Arabidopsis thaliana: one gene and its partners. The protein of the gene in region 2 interacts with the protein of the main gene of each other region in a biochemical or structural test. Each region holds a gene or a part of one and is shown on either strand. Other genes may lie near its edges.

Region 1 (7,071 bases), on a different chromosome or scaffold from region 2:
AACTATTTTTATATACAGTGAGGACCTTTGCCATATATACGTATCACTCTGATTTAACAGAAGCAAACAAGCTTGACACTAAAAGAAGAAGATATAGCTGTTACAAACGTCAAGATTGATTTAGCTCGTGGGAGAGAAAATCCTCTTGAATGGTAAACAAAGTACAGTTTAGCTTCTCTGTTTTCTCAATTTCCTCATTAAAGTTCTAACCAACTTATCCTTGTGCTTGACTTCTTTAGCATCAACTTCTATAAGGTACATACATAAAAGTCTTCGTTCTTGTTATGCAGATTTGATTCTCTAAATGTGTAAAGAGAGGAAACCTTGAAAATAACACAGAGAATCTCAATAAACAAATTGATTTTTCTATGGTATTTACAGGATTATAATAGTGCAGAGAAGTTTGTGATACCTGAGGACAGAGTTAGCCACTTGTTACCAACAACATATCAAGAAATGATAGTGAGAGTATATGCCAAAAAACCAGAATTGGTATGTGATTATTACTCTCTTTTATGATTACATTACTGTTTCGTTTTATTTAACCACAAAGTAACGTTTTTATTTTTCTGGTTTGCAATGTTTATTCTACAGGTAGAAGCAGTTTCTGAGGCATTTGAAAACTTCCAAATGAGAACGTATGGAATCAAAGCTCAAGTACTGATGTAACTACGTGGCTTAGCCATGATTTACTTCATTACATGGGTTCTTGTTTCTGGGGGGGAATTGGTGACGGTGGAAGTAATAAGTTTTTTTTTTTTTGTTAAATATTATATCTCGACAAGATTTGAAGAACAAAGATATGTTCATGTTTGGTTGATCTATTTTTTGGTTTTAACATCCAATTTTTGGTTCGAAACACCTGACGTTCAGGTGATATCGGATACAAACTCGTTCACTACGAATCCATGCATTTCTACTACACGAGTTTGTCAGAATTCTCTAAAACCAATAACGATGCAAGTCTTTCAACAATCATCAAATTCTTTAAGTCGTAAACCAAAGATATGATAAATGGTATATACGTAATAAAAAAGTAACAGGTTTTAAGGTTAAATTAGTGAAACTTCTTTTGAAATCTTACAAGTTACAACACTACGAAAACTCTTATGTTTGGAGTTTCCCATACATTAGCAACAACGGGTCATGCTGCTTTAAAGAAGAACTCGATAGCTTCATTATACTGATCCATGACAATGTTGTGAAGAAGTTGAACAGGTTCAAGGAGATTCGAGTAGCCACCCATAATGTCGCGAGTCAAAGGAGGAGTGTCCTCGTCTTTTAACCAAGCGTGCTGAGCCACAGACAAGCCGCTCAGGCAGTAACATGTGTGGTAGAAGTCACGGGGTTTCCTCGGCTTGTCTCTGAATCCACCGTCAGGGATCTGCGCATACAAGTGTGTGTGCTTGTGTTATACAAATGTTAAGTGTTAACTTGACTGGATGTTTTGTTCTGGACTGACCTTAGAGCACAAGAGTACATATCTCTGCAAGCCGAGGCTATCAAAAACCAGTTGCATTCTCCTGTTAATGTAGGTGGATGTATGATGGATTCTGTGACCATTCACTGAATCTGCAAATATAAGCTAACTAAAATTTCGTTGTGTTTTGAATTATCAGATGGACTTGATGGTTGAGAAATTTGATTGAATACCTTCATCGTTGTCCTCATCAGAATCATCATCATCATCACTGTCTTCAAGGTCATCTTCATCATGAGCATGATGTTCTTCATTTGTCCCTTCTGATATATGTGATGATCCATGAACGTCATGATCATTGGTTGAATATAATCTTTGTAGTAGAACACAAGGGGCTGCCTGTTTAACATATACCCAAAGGAAATAAGAAAAGACAACAACGGTGAAGAATTTAGAAGTAGGGCCAATAATAATCCTGAAAGATAGAAAGTTAACCTGCCAAAATGTGTAGCAACCATCGACCAATTTGTTCGTCCTACCTTGAAATCCCATTTCTACTCCTTGTCGATGTACAGCCCAATTCTAGAATCATAAGGAAATTATTTGGTAAGGAAAATATCTCTCAGGGAAAATTATTAATCATCTCCAAACAGCATTGTATGTTACCATTAATGAATCCAAATTCAAACGGTCGACCTCATTGATTAAAATCATAGCAGCCAAACCACAGTAGGTATACCTAAACAAAAAACAACTTGGTAATAAGCAAAGCTGCAGGTGACAAATCCTATTTCAGAAAATTAATTATACTTAACCATCAATAACCATGTCATCAAGGAAGAGGGAAGCAAAGCACAATTTTTATCTAAGCCTCAACATAATGGAAGTAAGTAGGAGACCATACCCACCGTGAGCTTCGGAGCCAGGTTCCCCTCCAATGCCACCTTCATAAGTTTGGCAACTGCTCAATATAAATCGAGTTAAAAGAGCTTTCCCAGGGAAATTAATGAATTCCTGAATTTACAACTGTATAACAGTAGTTCAGCTATATATATATAATGCGAGATAAAAGTAATAAGAAAAGCTACCTCAAGATGTAATCTCCTAGGCCCTGGGTGAGTTCATCATCCATAATATTTAGGATGCTTGCAACCTGTGTCACAAGAGAGAAGTCAAACATATCAGGGAGAAAACCAGCCATAGGATGCATTTGCAACACGTGTAAGTCTCAAAACGAGTAATCTCTATTCAAAGTATCTGGTGGGCGCAAGTGTGCAAATAATAAGATCATATCGTAATCTGAATGTGATGTTTAAGCCATGAAAACGGAAGAAACATAGCATAATGGGTCCAGACTTTGTTGATCTCATTAATCCTAAAAAGTTTTGGTGTCCACAAAAACAGAGAAAAGGAAAATAGAAGTTGGTAAAACTCACCGAAATTGCAGTGTAGCATGCACGAACATCCATTTCTCCCATATCATGCATCCTAACGATCAGTGAGTAAGTAGAATTAAGCAAGAATTAAAAAAACAACATGACTGAAGGTATGGCATTAACAGCGATACGAATGCATAAAGAGTGAGCTGTCAGTAAAAATGATGCCTTTAAGAAGTTCAAGCAGAAAGAGAATCAAACCTGAAACCTCCACTTGTATCCTTCATCCGTCTTAAAAAACAAGACATTTTTTCTCTGAAAGAAGAATGAGTCACATGTAAGTATTCTAGAGGAAACATCACTAGACTCTTAATAAAAGAAACTGACCACAAAGAAAAAAGAATGCACCACCTATTAATTGAAGAAAGGGCTTTGTCACCTCCTAAAGTAACAAGTGCATTCACTGCAGCATAAGTAGTTGCAAGATGTGGAAGCTGGGAAAAAATATCTCCATTACTAGTAGAAAAAAAAAGGAAACTGAAAAAGGCAGACCAAAAGTTATATATCCTAACTTTCTCTGCCATGTTTGGAAAATTTACAACCACAAACTTAAACAACTAAATGCTGCTTGAACTAAAGACACCATTTTACGTCTTCACAGAAAAAAACTTAAACTTAAACTACGTGTGCTGCTTGAATTAAAGGCATCACAACCAAACAATGAGATGATGCATAAAAAAAACACCTAAAAGAGATCTGGCAGAATAAAATAATCTGGTCTCAATGTTTATTCTCCAATTGCATGAAATGAAAGTGATCCACACACTTTAAAGAAACAGACATATACTTACTTGGCCAGGACCACCACCGTATCCACCTTCAGAGCCCTGACAAGCGACATGAGAAAGCAAACTAAGTACATAAAGAACAATAACAGATAACACTAATAGCAACGGGAAAAGAAAACGTGAACTAAAGGAGCAGAAAATCAAGAAGAATGCAAGAGCAAATATGAAGAGTTTTCATGATTGGGTACAAGCAAAAGGAATTGAGCCTAACCTGGCAGCGTCCAAGGAAGTCAATGGCATTGCTTTCTAATTCATCATCCACAGTCTCCCCAAGCAAAGCTATTGAATGAAGAATCCAGTAACAAAGCCAAGGTCGACTGTTCCAAAATCCAAAAAAGCCAAAATCAAACTTCTAATCTATTGGCAAAAATCCAAAGGGGCTTTACTCTCTCACTGGACAAAATGTACTAAGAAATTCATGAAAACAAGAAGCCAAGCATCATGTCACTTACTTAGCATCTAAGGAAGAAAACTGCGGACCAAGCTGCCTTAAGCCTTTCATCAGATAATCCAATTGCTTATCTCGCTGAATCTCCATCCTAGGATAGAACAACTTCCATATCAGTAAGATTCATCTATCGACGAAAATAATTCTTTCACGACGCTACTAAAATTCATCAGATCATGAAGAAAACTAGAAAATCAAATCCGTGAGCTTACATGTATTTTTGAGTAGAAACGTCGCTGGCGTCGAAGTAATTATAGATCCCGAACACATCGTTCTCCACCAGAAATTGCTCGCGCTGACTCACGGTTAGGCTTGAAAGCTCTTCCATCACTCTCCGCCGCGTTGATTCCCCGTGTCCTCCGTGACAGATTCGCCGATTGAGTCCACTCCGGTCAAGTCTGAGCCCTACACACTTCAAACGAATCAAGCGGGTTACTACTGGCATCTAAATTTCATTGCCAATTTGGTTCCGGTTTAATACCGGTTCGGTTTGGTTTAAGATTCTCAAACAATTAATTTTACTATACGCTTTAATGTTTAATCTGTTGCTTCTTAGTATAATTTCCTCTTGACAAAAAAAAAAAAGAGTATAATTTCTGTTACGCCCAGACCAAACCAGATTCATTGTTTTATTTATAAGATTAGTTAGAGCATCCTTATCAATAGGTTGTTAACAATATCATAAGAACTATCAAAATATTATATTAAATAAAATAAGAATAAAAAAATAAAAAAGTGTGCTTAAGAAATGAAAAATGGCTCTTAGCTAAGTTTTTTTTTTCTTTATTCTCTTTTTTTGTAAGAGCCATTCTAATGTTTAAACATTATTTTGTATATCAAAATTGTTTAGAACTTTATGTAAGAGTTCATTGATAAGGATGGTCTTAGAAACTTCTTCCTAGGCTAGGTCTATATTTCTTTAGGGCTATATTATTGCTTGCTCTTAACGGAAAAATACATAAACCTCGTTTCATCTTCTCCATGGCCACTTCTAGTAGCAATTTATTGGGTTTGTTTTTGGTTGCCTCTCTCTCTCTCTCTTTTATCTAATGTGTTAAACTTGTCTCAAGAGTTTTTTTTTTGTTGCTCTTCTTTTAGGTAAGCGTAACCCTGAAGAAGATGATTTGGTGACCAATTCCATTCTCAAGAGACATAAGTAGAATAAGGTAACCCTAAGATGGCCTCGTATTACTCTTCTTCTTTGACAAAACAATCTTCTTTACACTGTCTTCTTCTAATGGCTACTCTTTGATCTTGTATCATATGTAACAGGAGGAAACAACCAACGGATTTGCTAGATATTTTGTACAAATTTCTGTTCAATTAAGAATCTTGTGCTAACACACTTGGCTGTTAAATCCAGGTGACAAAAAAGACGCTCTTTAATGGCCATATCCCTCCCCAAACTAAAATATCAGATATGTAAGTAGCACCATCTTCAATCTCCACTTTCCTTCTCTGAGCATGACTGATATTTTTACCTTACACTGTTTGTTACAGCATCAATTTCTTCAAAGATGCTGGAGAAGTTGTTCGTGTTCGACTTTTTGTAACCGCCAAGCGTATCCATAGGTGCTATGGCCTTGTTGACTTTGCTTCTGCTAACGAAGCAAAAAAGGTTTAGACTAGTTTATAGTTAGTTATGATGAAAAATATATAGTGTATCTAAGTTTCAATTTGAATGTACGATTGCTGAATAAACTCTTTATTACCGTAGGTGCTGTATAAGAAGAACGGTGAATATTTGCACGATTATAAGATTTTTCTTTATGTGTATTCACGACGTCCACAGCCTCCACGACGTCCACGACCTCCAGGACTCAAGTAAATTCAATTTTCCATGTTATTGACATTTGTTTCTGGTGACACTGGTTATTAATTACTGTTAGAGCTTTTGATACAATATTACTGCTAGACTAACGCTTTTAACTTTGTTAATTAGGTATTGCATAGATTACACGGTTTGGTATGGGATTTTAACTATTTACCTCTTGAGTTTGATTACACTGGTTGAATTTTTGAATACATGAAGAGCTCACTAGGTTTTCTTAATTTTTCAGCTACAACGACTACCTTCAACGAGAAAGCCTTCCGATAGAAGAAAATGAGACACCTTCCGATTTTGTTGAGGTACCTCTTCAAAATATGTCACGCTCACACATTTTAATAACAGAACTGTTGCCACAAAGTCGAAAGATGACTTCTTTTTAGGGATGAATATTATTCACACACTAAAATATTGCCAATCTCTATTTTTTTGAATTCAGGAAGTACTCTATGTTGCCAATCTCTCTCCCCAAACTAAAATATTGCATGTGTAAGTAGCACCTCAAATTTCCACTTTCATTCTCGGACCAAGTTTTCTATGACTGATATTTTATCCTTCACTTTTACAGCAAAGAATTCTTCAAAGATGTTGGAGAAGTTGTTAGTGTTCGACTTATTGTAAACCAAGCATGTGGGCTATGGCTTTGTTGACTTTGCTTCTTCTAACGAAGCAAAGAAGGTGAGAGTAGTTTTGTTGTAATTATGAAAAAGGTATTCAAGTAGTCATTTGAAAAGTACAATTGCTGACTAAATCTTTTATACTGTAGGCGCTGCAAAAGAAGAATGGTGAATATTTGCATGATCATCAGATTTTTCTTCAAGTGGCTAAGACAGCTCCATACCCTACACGACCCAAGTAAATTGATTTTCACGTTTTCTGTAACACTGGTTGTGACTTATTCCTGGAGTTTTGATACCCTTACAGAAGACTAACGCTATTATTTTTGGTAACTAGGTACAACCTTGCAGAGAAGCTTTGGTAAGGGATTTAACTATTTTCCTTGTGAGTTTTGTTATCATGAGCACATTGGGTGTAGTTCTTGGTATGAGATCACTAGAATTTTTGATGTTTCAGTTACGAAGACTACCTTCGACGACAAAACCTTGTGATAGAATAAGATGAGACAGCAGTGGAAGGACTTGATGAAACTC
Region 2 (5,178 bases):
TGAGCTAGTCAGCTAGCAAGCGAATTTGATTTACTTCTAATAAGTTTCATGTAACTGCTTCAGCGTATAAGGAAAGAAAGGTGATGTCCGATGAGGCAGCTGACTACTTTGCAAGTATGTGGCCGCCTCTTCTTGAAAACGTAAGGTCTTCTTATAATCTTATTCAGTTTTCTAAGGCATTTTGTAAGTTTGGATACACTGAATGGACTAACTGATCTTTCTTCTTTAACCCACTTTGTGAAACATTTGGTTTATTTCGAAAGTCTCAAAAAGAGGAGATTGAAGCATTGCAGGATGGAACTCTCACCCCACAAAAGACTAGGCGGTTTTGTATCTTCTTCTTTTAGTACTAGATATTAACTTGTTTTTGTAGCTCTATCTATATCTATCTCAAAATGATATTCCCCATACATAGATAAATTATGACTTGTTTAATTTGTTTGTTTTGATGAAATTTGTGTATAATTTGGCGGTACTGTTTCGTGTTGAAGAGCCCAAGCTTGTTTAAATTGTTTCTTGTTGGGTTCTGTCTAGCTTCTGTTGATTTACGACTACAATACTATGTTCATGTAATCACACAAAAAACGATATGAGACCAAAAAAACATAAACAGTTCAAACAAGATGGGCTCTTCAACACGAAAGAAAGGTGAAATGTTGATAAAATAAAATAAACAGAAAACGATATGAGATCGAAAAAGGTCGGTCATATAGAGCTTCTTCCTTCCTCTTTACTCCTTGGCCTTCTCGACGGCGACTTCCTCAGCAGCCGCAACTTCAGTCTGTTTCTCCTCCAACGCCTCAGTCTTCTTCTCCTCCGGAGTTTCAGTCACTTCTTCAGCTTTCTTCTCCTCCTCCACAACTGTTGGAGTTTCAGTGATCACTGCTGCCTTCTCTTCTTCATCCTCATTTGTCTTCTCTGCATCTTCCACAAACACTTCTTCCGGGTGTTGATTCACCTCCGTCTCAACGATCTCTACTGCTACTGAAGTCACGTGTTCAACCTGTAAGCGAAAACACACTTATTAAACGAAAAAATGCATGCCGTTTAAACGGCGAATAGTCCATATCACTTGATAGACATAGATTTCTAGATACATGATATATATATATATATATATTAACAACGAATATGAACCATAGATACAGGTTTATAGTTTGACAAAATAAAAATAAAGAGAATATATACCTCAACGGTGGCCATTTCGAAGGAAAATATAGTGTATGTGATGCTTTGGTGTATGAAGAGATTTGATCAAGATGAGAGGTATTTATAGTAGAAGCAAACCGTTTACAATAATGTTTTTTCAAACTAAATATCTATTAAGATAAAATTATTAGTTTTTTGAAAGAACCATGATGATGATTATTGCACATGAACGAACCTTTTTTTTGCTTATATATAAAAGCAATTGTACTATTTTACACCTCATGCCCACATAGTATGGGGTGACTGGAGAGGGCTTTAGAGGGTAGCTGTTACTTTATATAAGCTGTAAAGTCTTATACTGTGATTTTTATTTTTTAAAAAATAAAGCTATGACTTAAAAAAAAATATAGTTTTACGAATTTTTACTTTAAAATAAGTTGTAAAGTTATATACATACTGTAAATTTTATTTTAGGAATTTTTTCATATTTTTAAAAAGTACAAAATAAAATATTGTTTTTGTTATTCCTCAGCTCTTGTGAAAAATCATTACTTAATCTTCATTAATCGATTGTTTAGGTCTTATTAATCATGTGTTGAGTTGGGACCATGATTAAGCAATAAGAGTCATTTACCTCCTGTCAAGTATGCATATGCATATACTTTTGGTTGTTGAATATTGTTGGTTGCAAGCAGTACAATCGGGAGAGAAAGGATCGAAAGATCGACAAAGGTGTTGCTAAAGCTGAGGGTGCTGATTAATCAAGGATTAATCAATACGATATCTGAAGCTAAAACTAGAACACCAAAATGTTGATTCATGATCTTAACTCCTAAACATTTCCTTGGTTAATGAAAGAGTTCGTTCATCTTTCAAACCATTGACAATAATAGCAGCTGTCACCTCTTCTTCACCATTACGGGCTTCTTCTTGATGTAATGGTGAATAGTAAGGCCTCTATGCTGTTATACAATGCTTTAAGTACAAGGATTTAAAAAATATTTACAAGCCTTTTTTTAAGAGTTTTAAAAGGATTTACAATGATTTTAAAGGATTTTAAAACTTTTATAATTCCTTTTAAAGTCATTTGAAAACTTTTGTAAATGCTTTCAAAACTCTCAAAAAATTTTTTTTTTTTTTTTTAAACTCTTAAAATTATCCTTGTTGTATATATTATTTAAAGCCTTTTAAACCCTTAAAATATATTTTACAATGGTTTTAAATGATTTATAAGGATTCTAAAATATTGAAAAAATGTTTTAAAAAGGATTTTAAAGTATTTACATGTATATTTAAAAACTTTATAAGGATTTTAATAAGTTTTAAAATGGTTTACAAGAGTTTTTAACAATTTTACAAAGCTTTAAAAAACTTTACTAGGATTTTCTAAGAATTTTTAAAGGATTTACAATGGTTTTTTAAGGGTTCTAAACAAAATTAGAAAGACTTTAAATGCAATTTTTTGGCGGGAAAAAACAGAGAAAATAAAATTTTGGCACTTAAAATTTAGGTGGGTAAGTTTTGGTTTCTAACTACATGTTCTCATTAGATTTGATGATGATTAATTTAGTCATTTTGGTTAAGAAAGTGGTTATTTTTAAAAATGGGCCAAAAAAGGATATCATAGTAGAATTGTGGTTTGGGCTTAAAAGCCCATTACCCCTCCCCTAATTAGTTTTCAACTTTTCATGGAGTCTTCGGTTTTCGACTTTGGATCGGAGTCGGGGAACATGAATTTCGACGAGACCGTGCCACTGAGCCAACGATTGGAGTGGTCAGACGTGGTCCCATTGACTCAGGACGATGGTCCGAATCCAGTGGTGCCAATTGCCTACAAGGAAGAGTTCCGCGAGACTATGGATTACTTCCGTGCGATTTACTTTTCCGACGAGCGATCTCCTCGCGCACTACGACTCACGGAAGAAACCCTCCTCTTAAACTCCGGCAACTACACAGTAATCAATCTTATAATTCATATAATCAACAACTATCTGAACTCTTATGGTTTTGAAATTTGATGGATTTTAGTCTTTTATTGGTCCTTGTTGCTTCAATTTTTAGTCTTACCGATATTTTTGTTTACCTTTGAAGGTGTGGCATTTCAGGCGCCTAGTACTCGAGGCCCTTAATCACGACTTGTTTGAAGAACTCGAGTTCATCGAACGCATTGCTGAGGATAACTCTAAGAACTACCAACTGTGGTAAAGTTCATACCTTTTCACACCTTGTTTGATCTATGTGCTTTTGATCATGAAAGTCTATGAGTGAGTTATACTTTTGAAAATTGTCTGATGAATAATTTTGAATCAATAAATGTATATTCTACTTCTCCATAGATGAAAGTTTGTTCTTGTACACATTGTTAAGTTCATAGTGTCTCATATCTGCTGATTATACAACGTTAAAACCCTTGGTTGTTTGTTTTGAGTTTGATGGTCCATGCTTCTGCTCTATGTTTTCCTTTTCTCTAGGCATCATCGGCGATGGGTTGCAGAGAAACTGGGTCCTGATGTTGCAGGGAGAGAACTTGAATTTACCCGTAGAGTACTTTCACTTGATGCCAAACATTATCATGCTTGGTCACATAGGCAGGTTTGCGATCTCAAACCTTGTTAAAGCATTCACTTGGGGTATCATTGCATATCTTTTTGTTTGATAATATGGAAACAATCTGCAGTGGACACTACGGGCATTAGGAGGATGGGAAGATGAGCTCGATTACTGTCACGAGCTCCTTGAAGCTGACGTCTTTAACAATTCCGCCTGGAATCAGGTAACTTGATCGTTGATACACATACGAAATTCTGTATCTCTAATCTATCAATTGCCGATTCTGTCACCTATTTGTATAATCTCATTCCCTTAATCTGACAGAGGTATTATGTCATCACCCAATCTCCTTTGTTGGGAGGCCTAGAAGCCATGAGAGAATCTGAAGTAAGCTACACAATCAAAGCCATTTTAACCAATCCTGCAAACGAGAGCTCATGGCGATACCTAAAAGCTCTTTACAAAGACGACAAAGAATCCTGGATTAGTGATCCAAGTGTTTCCTCAGTCTGTTTGAATGTTCTATCCCGCACAGATTGCTTCCATGGATTCGCTCTGAGCACCCTTTTGGATCTTCTATGTGATGGACTGAGACCAACCAACGAGCATAAAGACTCAGTGAGAGCTCTAGCTAATGAAGAACCAGAGACTAACTTGGCCAATTTGGTGTGTACTATTCTTGGTCGTGTAGATCCTGTAAGAGCTAACTATTGGGCATGGAGGAAGAGCAAGATTACAGTGGCAGCAATTTGAATATGTGACGCCCCAAAATCACACTTGAAAAAGACTTGATTATTAGTTTTTACGTATGTACTGCTTATTTATGAATCACATGTTCATGTTAACATGTATCAAAACAATCTTGATTTCTCAGTTTCCTTCGCCTTGTGATATTCAGAGAAGCTTTCTCAAGAATGATTTTGCATCACACACTTTGACTAAACGCATTGCTCTCTCGATAACCGGAAGATCAAAACCGAAACCGGGTTTTGGTTTGGCTCGCGGATTTCCCCAATTCAATTTTAACGACAAAACTATACTAATTCATAAGATTAAAAAAAAAGTTTCTGAAGTGGTCGAAGTCGGAAGCGTGATTTGGTCGAAAGATTGGTTCTTTCTCCGACAAGAATTATGTCCAAATCTGGGTTTAGTCTGCTGTTCCTCGTTCTTCTACTTATCATGGGTTTCTTATTTCCGTTGAGAGTTTCTGCAATTAGGTGATTAATTTTGGGTAACAACCATTGCTTCTATGAATTGTCCCGCTTAGTTTCATTTCCTTGAGATTTTCGAATGAATTTGCAGGAAGGATATCGGATTTTTGGAAGAGCGGAGTTGCAGAACAACTGTCCAAGGAAGATACTTGATCTCCGATGATGAAGGTTAGCGATTTCCACTCTTGGAAAGATTCACCTTTTTGAACATTTTGAATCTCTTTCGACTTAGATTTGGTGATCCATGAATGGTTTGTTGTTGCAACTT
Region 3 (6,100 bases), on a different chromosome or scaffold from region 2:
ATGGAAAGTGGTGTCATAACTCCTCCATATCTCACTCCTCGTGCTTCTCCTTCGTTGTTCACGCCTCCTTTAACTCCATTGCTAATGGAGTCTTGTAATGGTAGAAAAGAAGAGATCTCGAGTTTGTTTGAGTCATCCTCTGATGCTGAGTTTAATAGACTAGTGAGATCATCTCCATTGTCATCATCACATTCACCGTCATCTTCGCCATTGTCGAGATTCAAGTTCTTAAGGGATGCAGAGGAGAAGCTTTACAAGAAGAAAGTGATGGAGATTGCAGAAGCTTAGTAAATTCAAGTGGTAAAAGTTTGGTAAAACACAGTTCAAGAATCGGATTTGGTAATCAAGATTCAAGAAGATGAGGTCTAGGAGAGAAAAACCAGGAATGATTAATAGAATTAAACCGGTTTTTAGTCTGATTTAATTGTCCTTAATCATCAACATTTTTTTTGGTCTAGCTCGTCATCGGATTAAACCGGTTGTAAATTTTCGGTGGATAGAGAATTTGTTAGCCAAATTTGTGGATTTTGAGTCAAATCACGCGAATAAAGATAGGCTTTGGATTCTATTTTCTTGTAGCAAAGTTACCACAAGTGTTGTGGTTGACATTTAAAGATGCATGAACTCAACACTCAAATCCTAAACCGACTTTCACTTTTAAAAAGGAATTAATTCTCGTTTTATCGAATATGGAGTTAGAAAGTTAAACAGAACACGTGAAGAGAAAAGGTAAAAGAATTATATACTAATCTAATTTGATTTATTCGAGATCATTTGCATCAAAACACACTACAGTAAGAATGATTCTTTTTACGGCATTGAAGAACATCGACCGGTAAATTGGAATAAGACGATTTATGAATAGAGACAAGACTCATGAGAGGCCAAGTGGGGAATCTCTTCCCCTTTAGGATTTTGTCCCAGTTTTTGCAGTTTATGTCTGATACTTTTCCATCCAAGTGGCGTCAACAACACCACTCACTCGTTAACAAAGCGAAACTGCAATCTTACAATAGTCTTTTGTTTTTTTTTCCCGAACTTTCTTACACAATCATGCAACATCTTATTCACAGATTTATGATTTAAAAGTTTTTGATTTTTCGTCCCTAGTCTAAAAAGAACAGAAAATAAAACTCAACAACTAAATTTGCTTTTCTTTGGTTTACAATATTCATTCTGTGAGTTTTAGCAATGTTACCACACGGAATGTTGACATAAATGTTACAATGTGGTGAAAAAAGAATGTGACTTTGAGACAATCTAAACATCAAATTCCCGGGGCTGCAAGAAGAGGTAAACCTAGCTCAGGACATAGAGGACTCAAGCCCTGTTCTTCCAAGAGACTAAAAGCCGTGTAACCGTAGTATGAATGATACAGATCTGGTAATTGTCCGGGGAATTTACTGAATCCACCATACTGGACACAAAAATGCACAAACAATGGCGGCGTTAAGCAGATTGTTATCATCAGTAACCGATCATGAATCGTAGATGTAAACACATGAATGAAGACAATGTACCAAACTATCCTAATGGCTCTATAGGCTGCTACTAGTAATATTGCTAAATAAATATTAGCTTAGTTGCAGGTTTGCCTATCTACTCAGTTACTTTACAAATTTAGAAATTAATATCAGCTGAGATATGAGATGTAGAGAATAGTTACCTTGGACTGACAACTCATTAAAAATTTGCGCAGAGCCATTTTGTCGATCAATGCATCGCCTCCTATAAGTTTAAGGACAGCTCCAATCCTACAAATATGCAAGGCCCATCATAAGCAGATGAGAACAATTAGGGTCGGTGACAGCAAAAGTTGAGGGGACTAACCAAAATGCATAGCATGTGTCACTTGGCTTGTTAGTCCTACCTTGAAACCCACCATCATTTGCTTGTCTCTACAGGCAAGGTAAGAAAAAATTTCAGATCACTCAGGCCATTACGAATCTAAAGGTAATATTTATGAGGTGAAAGTTAACAGATTTTATGAAGCAGTACCTGTAGGCACCAGTTGAGAAGTAATGAAGGGTCTATTATTGAACTGGATGAATCATTTGACAGCAGATCAACTCCAATGTATCCCATCAACCGAAGGGATGCAATAGCACAGTAAGTGGCACCACCTGCATAACTAAGTTGCAGAACGTAGGTAAGCATCATACACGAGTGGAGTCAATTAAACACATTTCCCTCATAACGTAAGAACATAGTAAACTTCTTTTCTTTATGGGTTGCCATTGAAGTAGAAACCTAGATGAAGGAACTAAATTATCTAAAGTGTCCTCAATGATCAATTCAGTAATAACATATGCGCCACTTAGTTGGACTGCACATGGAAAAAATCAACTGTGAGATAGTAGAAAAATTGTTTTCAACTCACCATGAGATTCAGAACCAGGGATCAATCCAAAACCACCATCATATGACTGCACAAAGAATGTTGCACAAGAATGTCTTCTCAACACAGAAATTGACAAATATCAATGGAAGAAAAAAAGACAAAAGCAACTACAAGATCAGAAGTAAACCTGACAGTTTAATATGTAGTTCTTAGCACTCTCCTTATCCATTCCACTCCAACTATCCAGCATGTAACAGATTGCAGCTGAACCACAAAAAAAAAAAAAAACTAGATTGATACTCTACGTAAAGTATAAAGACATGGTATGTAAATCCTGTTAGGTAGCTATTCCTTACCTGCACAATATACAAATCGAAGATCCGTTTCACCTCCAATATGGATAGGCATGAAGCTGTAGCAAAATAAAAAAGTATCAAACACAATTCAGACCCCATTGCTTATTTAATCATTATATGCTGACAAGCCAAACTTGTTGCACCATGTAAATGAGAATATTGCTAGCCTAAACGACTTAGAACAAAGAAAATAAGTAATAAACTTATGGCATTATAAAATGCATTTTACTTTTTTAAGCTCTAAGAACTAATACCTTCCATCATCCTGTTGAAGGTTTATCATGGAAATTAGCAATGATTTTGAGTCGATGGTCGAGAGATCATGTCCAATGACCTTCAGAATAGCCAAAGCACAGTAAGTGCTTGCCAAGTGACTACCGTTGTGCTTTAAATCCTACGCAACAAACTAAACTGTCAAGCCCACACAGATGCAAAACAAAGATAAATCTTGTAACATATAAAGCATAAGGAATATAGACTTATAATTACCCCATTCTCATCAATGGGAAACTGAGAACTCCTTGAACCAAAGAAACCATAGAATTCTCCTGCAGAGAAGAACAAGAACATCTCATTCATTGATCACTAACTAATTAACAATTTGCTCATAAACATACTTCTAACTAAATTCAAGAAAAATACCATCTTTCAGTGAAACTCTGTTAGTAGGAAAGGCCTGGAAGGACAAAACCCACTTTGCAACAACATCTTTATCAACCTTCAGAAATTATAGATGAAATTCACTAAATCAGATTCAGGGGAAAAACAAAGATCGATTCTTTGAGAGAGAGGAGAAAGAGACTAACACGGTCTCTTGCGCCGAGAAAATGAAGACCCGAGATTATGAAATGAGCGAGTGTAAGACGATTGATCTCCTGAGATTGGTAATGGTACGGAAGCAACTCGTACATCATCTCCAAATACATCAAGTGTCGATCTTTCTCGAAATTCGCTGACGGAGATGATTGCACCGGTGGAGAATACTCTTCTTCGTCTTCTTCCTCCGACTTAGATCGGTCCGAATCGATTGACACGGCGGTCTCTGACATAGCGTCGTTCTCCGGTAGTGAGTCAACGAATCTCTCAAAACTCGCTTGGACTCACTCGGCTTTGCTTTCTCTTAGAGGAAAGTAAACAGTTTTTGGATCTGTGGTTTTCAAAAGTCAAAAACAGCACGATGTTACTTTGTATAATCACAAAACGGCGCAATGTTTAGGTGCTCTGATAATTATCTACATGATTAAAGATTAAAGATTCGTTGATGTGTTAAGAAATTAGATTAAAGATTAAAAATGAGATTGAGAAATTTAAACTTTTTTATTCGTGATATATATTAAGATATCACATTGAAGATTTCCAACATTGGGGGCATTGATTTTATTTTATATATTTCAAACATAGAATGTGATTAATATTTCCACACATATAGTACGTAGAAGTTATATGTATGTGATGAGGATCTTCAAAGAACGTTCAAGGACACTTGGATCCACCTTTGGAGTTTTTCATATCACGGTAGCAAGGACATTCATCTTTGTGTCCAAAAGTTCCCGAAGGAACACAATTACACTTCTGGCAACATATATTGCAGTACTTGAGGCATTCTTCATGTTGTCCTGCCTTTGAGCATCTCACATTGCACTTTCCACCGCATGCTGCTAATTCATTTATCACATATATATGTAAAATCTTAGAATTTCAGAAAACTTGTTTCAAAATGATACATGCATGACCTACAATTATTAACTAGATTAAGTAAACACTTACACGAATCAGCACTTGAAAGTACAGAAAATGAAGATGTGAGGAGAAGAGAGATTATGAAGAATTGTACAACCACGAGCTTCATCTTGTTTTCTCGAAAGAGTTTGCTACGTATACAAAATTTAAAGATATGCGAAAACAAAGTAGTGATGGTGAAATGTGGCTACAAAGAGAGGAATCCTTAATAGTGAGAATTTGAAGTGAAATTAATGTTTGTTACTTTAAATAAAGATATCTTTACTTGTTATGTCGGTACTATTTTCAGTTAAAAATATTAACATACAGAAAAAACCATATTCATAAACTTTTTTGACTAAGTAAGTAGTATAATACTAGTATTGAAAGTTTTTTTTGTAACCAGTATTGAAGCATTTTTTAAATTGTAAATTTATTTCTTATAGTGCACATTCATTTCGAATTACATGAACTTACAACAATTTTGAGATATTTTTGAAATCCTGATGAATGATGATTATGACACACAGTTTGTAACACTAACAAATATTCATTTTTATTATTATGTATAACTATTGAAATTCCTTAAGTCACATCTAATATATATTATAGATTAAAAGTATAGCATTAGATGTTGAAAAAAAAAGATTTAACTGTAGTAATAAGCAAGAAGACAGTGAGCCGCCCTTCAAGCACGGCGATGCATGTGGCAGATTGATTCTTAGGAATTGACTCAACTTTTTCGGTCTTCGTTGACTATATATTCAAAAATTGTAAAATTTAACTCAAACAAAAATGTACCTCTTGTTACATGTATTTTGTTCCTCTAAACAGTATGAAAAAAAAACTAAGTTTTCTTTTTAATACGAATGATTGCACCTAAAATTGATAGACGACTAAGTCTATACTGTTACATTAGATGGAAACATGGTTTGAATTATCGCTGCTAGGTGTCCAACTCGAACTTTGTACAGTTGTACTAGGATTCTAATGATTTGCTATGCATATAAAATACATTGTGGCGCAAAAATTACGCTAGTCGCATATTTCTTTTTTGGTTTGTTTGTTTGATTGCATAATTATGATTTGATGTCAAAAGTTGTATAATCAGAATTTGAGAACAATAATATGACAAAGAAAAACATTCTTTTTTCTCAGTTAGATGTAGATACAAGCTTTGTCCAAAAAAAAAAAAAGATATAGATAATAAAAATAATATCAAAGGTTGCCTTCTGGCTACGAAGACTATGAATTTAGACTTACAATTCCTTGGCTAAAAACTGTTTTAAATCTAAATTAATACCATATGTCAATAAAATATATCACGACTTCAATTACTAAGTTAGAACTTAGAAGTGGTGATCGAGTTCCAGCAAGCTCCAGCACGAATTGAAGAATACAATTTGTGCATATATATATTTTACATTATGGTTAAATATTATAATGTAACAAAAATCAACTCTTCGAACTCGAGTCAACGTAAATTTTGGCTATAAATTAGTCAACATTCCATGTCTTGCATTCGAACATCTTAGCCTTAATCATTTTCATCTTACTCTTTAAAGCGTAACGATTAATTAACGGGAAGATTTATATGGCTCCACCACCTCCGGCACCACCGTCCGTTACGTTGAGGACAGTGCTCCTTCTCCTTAGGGTTTTGACCGCGGCTTTCCTCCTCATA

Evidence for each region.
Region 1: the proteins of FTA (region 2) and ERA1 form a complex in vitro, tested with the Arabidopsis thaliana proteins (one study listed by BioGRID).
Region 3: the proteins of FTA (region 2) and PGGT-I form a complex in vitro, tested with the Arabidopsis thaliana proteins (one study listed by BioGRID).

Annotation. Positions count from the first base shown.
Region 1 is NC_003076.8:16,098,857-16,105,927, reverse strand, and holds ERA1 (Prenyltransferase family protein), read right to left. Parts: upstream 4,538-7,071; coding exon 4,305-4,537; intron 4,184-4,304; coding exon 4,097-4,183; intron 3,962-4,096; coding exon 3,856-3,961; intron 3,684-3,855; coding exon 3,648-3,683; intron 3,291-3,647; coding exon 3,058-3,290; intron 2,909-3,057; coding exon 2,857-2,908; intron 2,574-2,856; coding exon 2,509-2,573; intron 2,382-2,508; coding exon 2,325-2,381; intron 2,160-2,324; coding exon 2,087-2,159; intron 2,003-2,086; coding exon 1,916-2,002; intron 1,820-1,915; coding exon 1,654-1,819; intron 1,573-1,653; coding exon 1,463-1,572; intron 1,385-1,462; coding exon 1,145-1,384; 3' UTR 967-1,144; downstream 1-966. Other genes in the region: AT5G40290 (HD domain-containing metal-dependent phosphohydrolase family protein), read left to right, coding at 86-152, 240-255, 382-492, 595-669. UniProt on the Arabidopsis thaliana protein: Catalyzes the transfer of a farnesyl moiety from farnesyl diphosphate to a cysteine at the fourth position from the C-terminus of several proteins having the C-terminal sequence Cys-aliphatic-aliphatic-X (CaaX).
Region 2 is NC_003074.8:21,941,330-21,946,507, forward strand, and holds FTA (farnesyltransferase A), read left to right. Parts: upstream 1-2,840; 5' UTR 2,841-2,879; coding exon 2,880-3,104; intron 3,105-3,240; coding exon 3,241-3,350; intron 3,351-3,620; coding exon 3,621-3,741; intron 3,742-3,826; coding exon 3,827-3,922; intron 3,923-4,023; coding exon 4,024-4,452; 3' UTR 4,453-4,678; downstream 4,679-5,178. Other genes in the region: AT3G59370 (Vacuolar calcium-binding protein-like protein), read right to left, coding at 731-1,003, 1,189-1,203; AT3G59390 (glycosyltransferase family protein), read left to right, coding at 4,831-4,916, 5,002-5,078. UniProt on the Arabidopsis thaliana protein: Essential subunit of both the farnesyltransferase and the geranylgeranyltransferase complex.
Region 3 is NC_003071.7:16,499,312-16,505,411, reverse strand, and holds PGGT-I (Prenyltransferase family protein), read right to left. Parts: upstream 3,842-6,100; 5' UTR 3,747-3,841; coding exon 3,504-3,746; intron 3,416-3,503; coding exon 3,340-3,415; intron 3,246-3,339; coding exon 3,187-3,245; intron 3,092-3,186; coding exon 2,952-3,091; intron 2,754-2,951; coding exon 2,698-2,753; intron 2,606-2,697; coding exon 2,529-2,605; intron 2,427-2,528; coding exon 2,381-2,426; intron 2,124-2,380; coding exon 1,999-2,123; intron 1,899-1,998; coding exon 1,831-1,898; intron 1,755-1,830; coding exon 1,667-1,754; intron 1,418-1,666; coding exon 1,268-1,417; 3' UTR 1,033-1,267; downstream 1-1,032. Other genes in the region: AT2G39560 (Putative membrane lipoprotein), read left to right, coding at 1-288; AT2G39540 (Gibberellin-regulated family protein), read right to left, coding at 4,171-4,352, 4,465-4,546; AT2G39530 (Uncharacterized protein family (UPF0497)), read left to right, coding at 6,011-6,100. UniProt on the Arabidopsis thaliana protein: Catalyzes the transfer of a geranyl-geranyl moiety from geranyl-geranyl pyrophosphate to a cysteine at the fourth position from the C-terminus of proteins having the C-terminal sequence Cys-aliphatic-aliphatic-X (CaaX).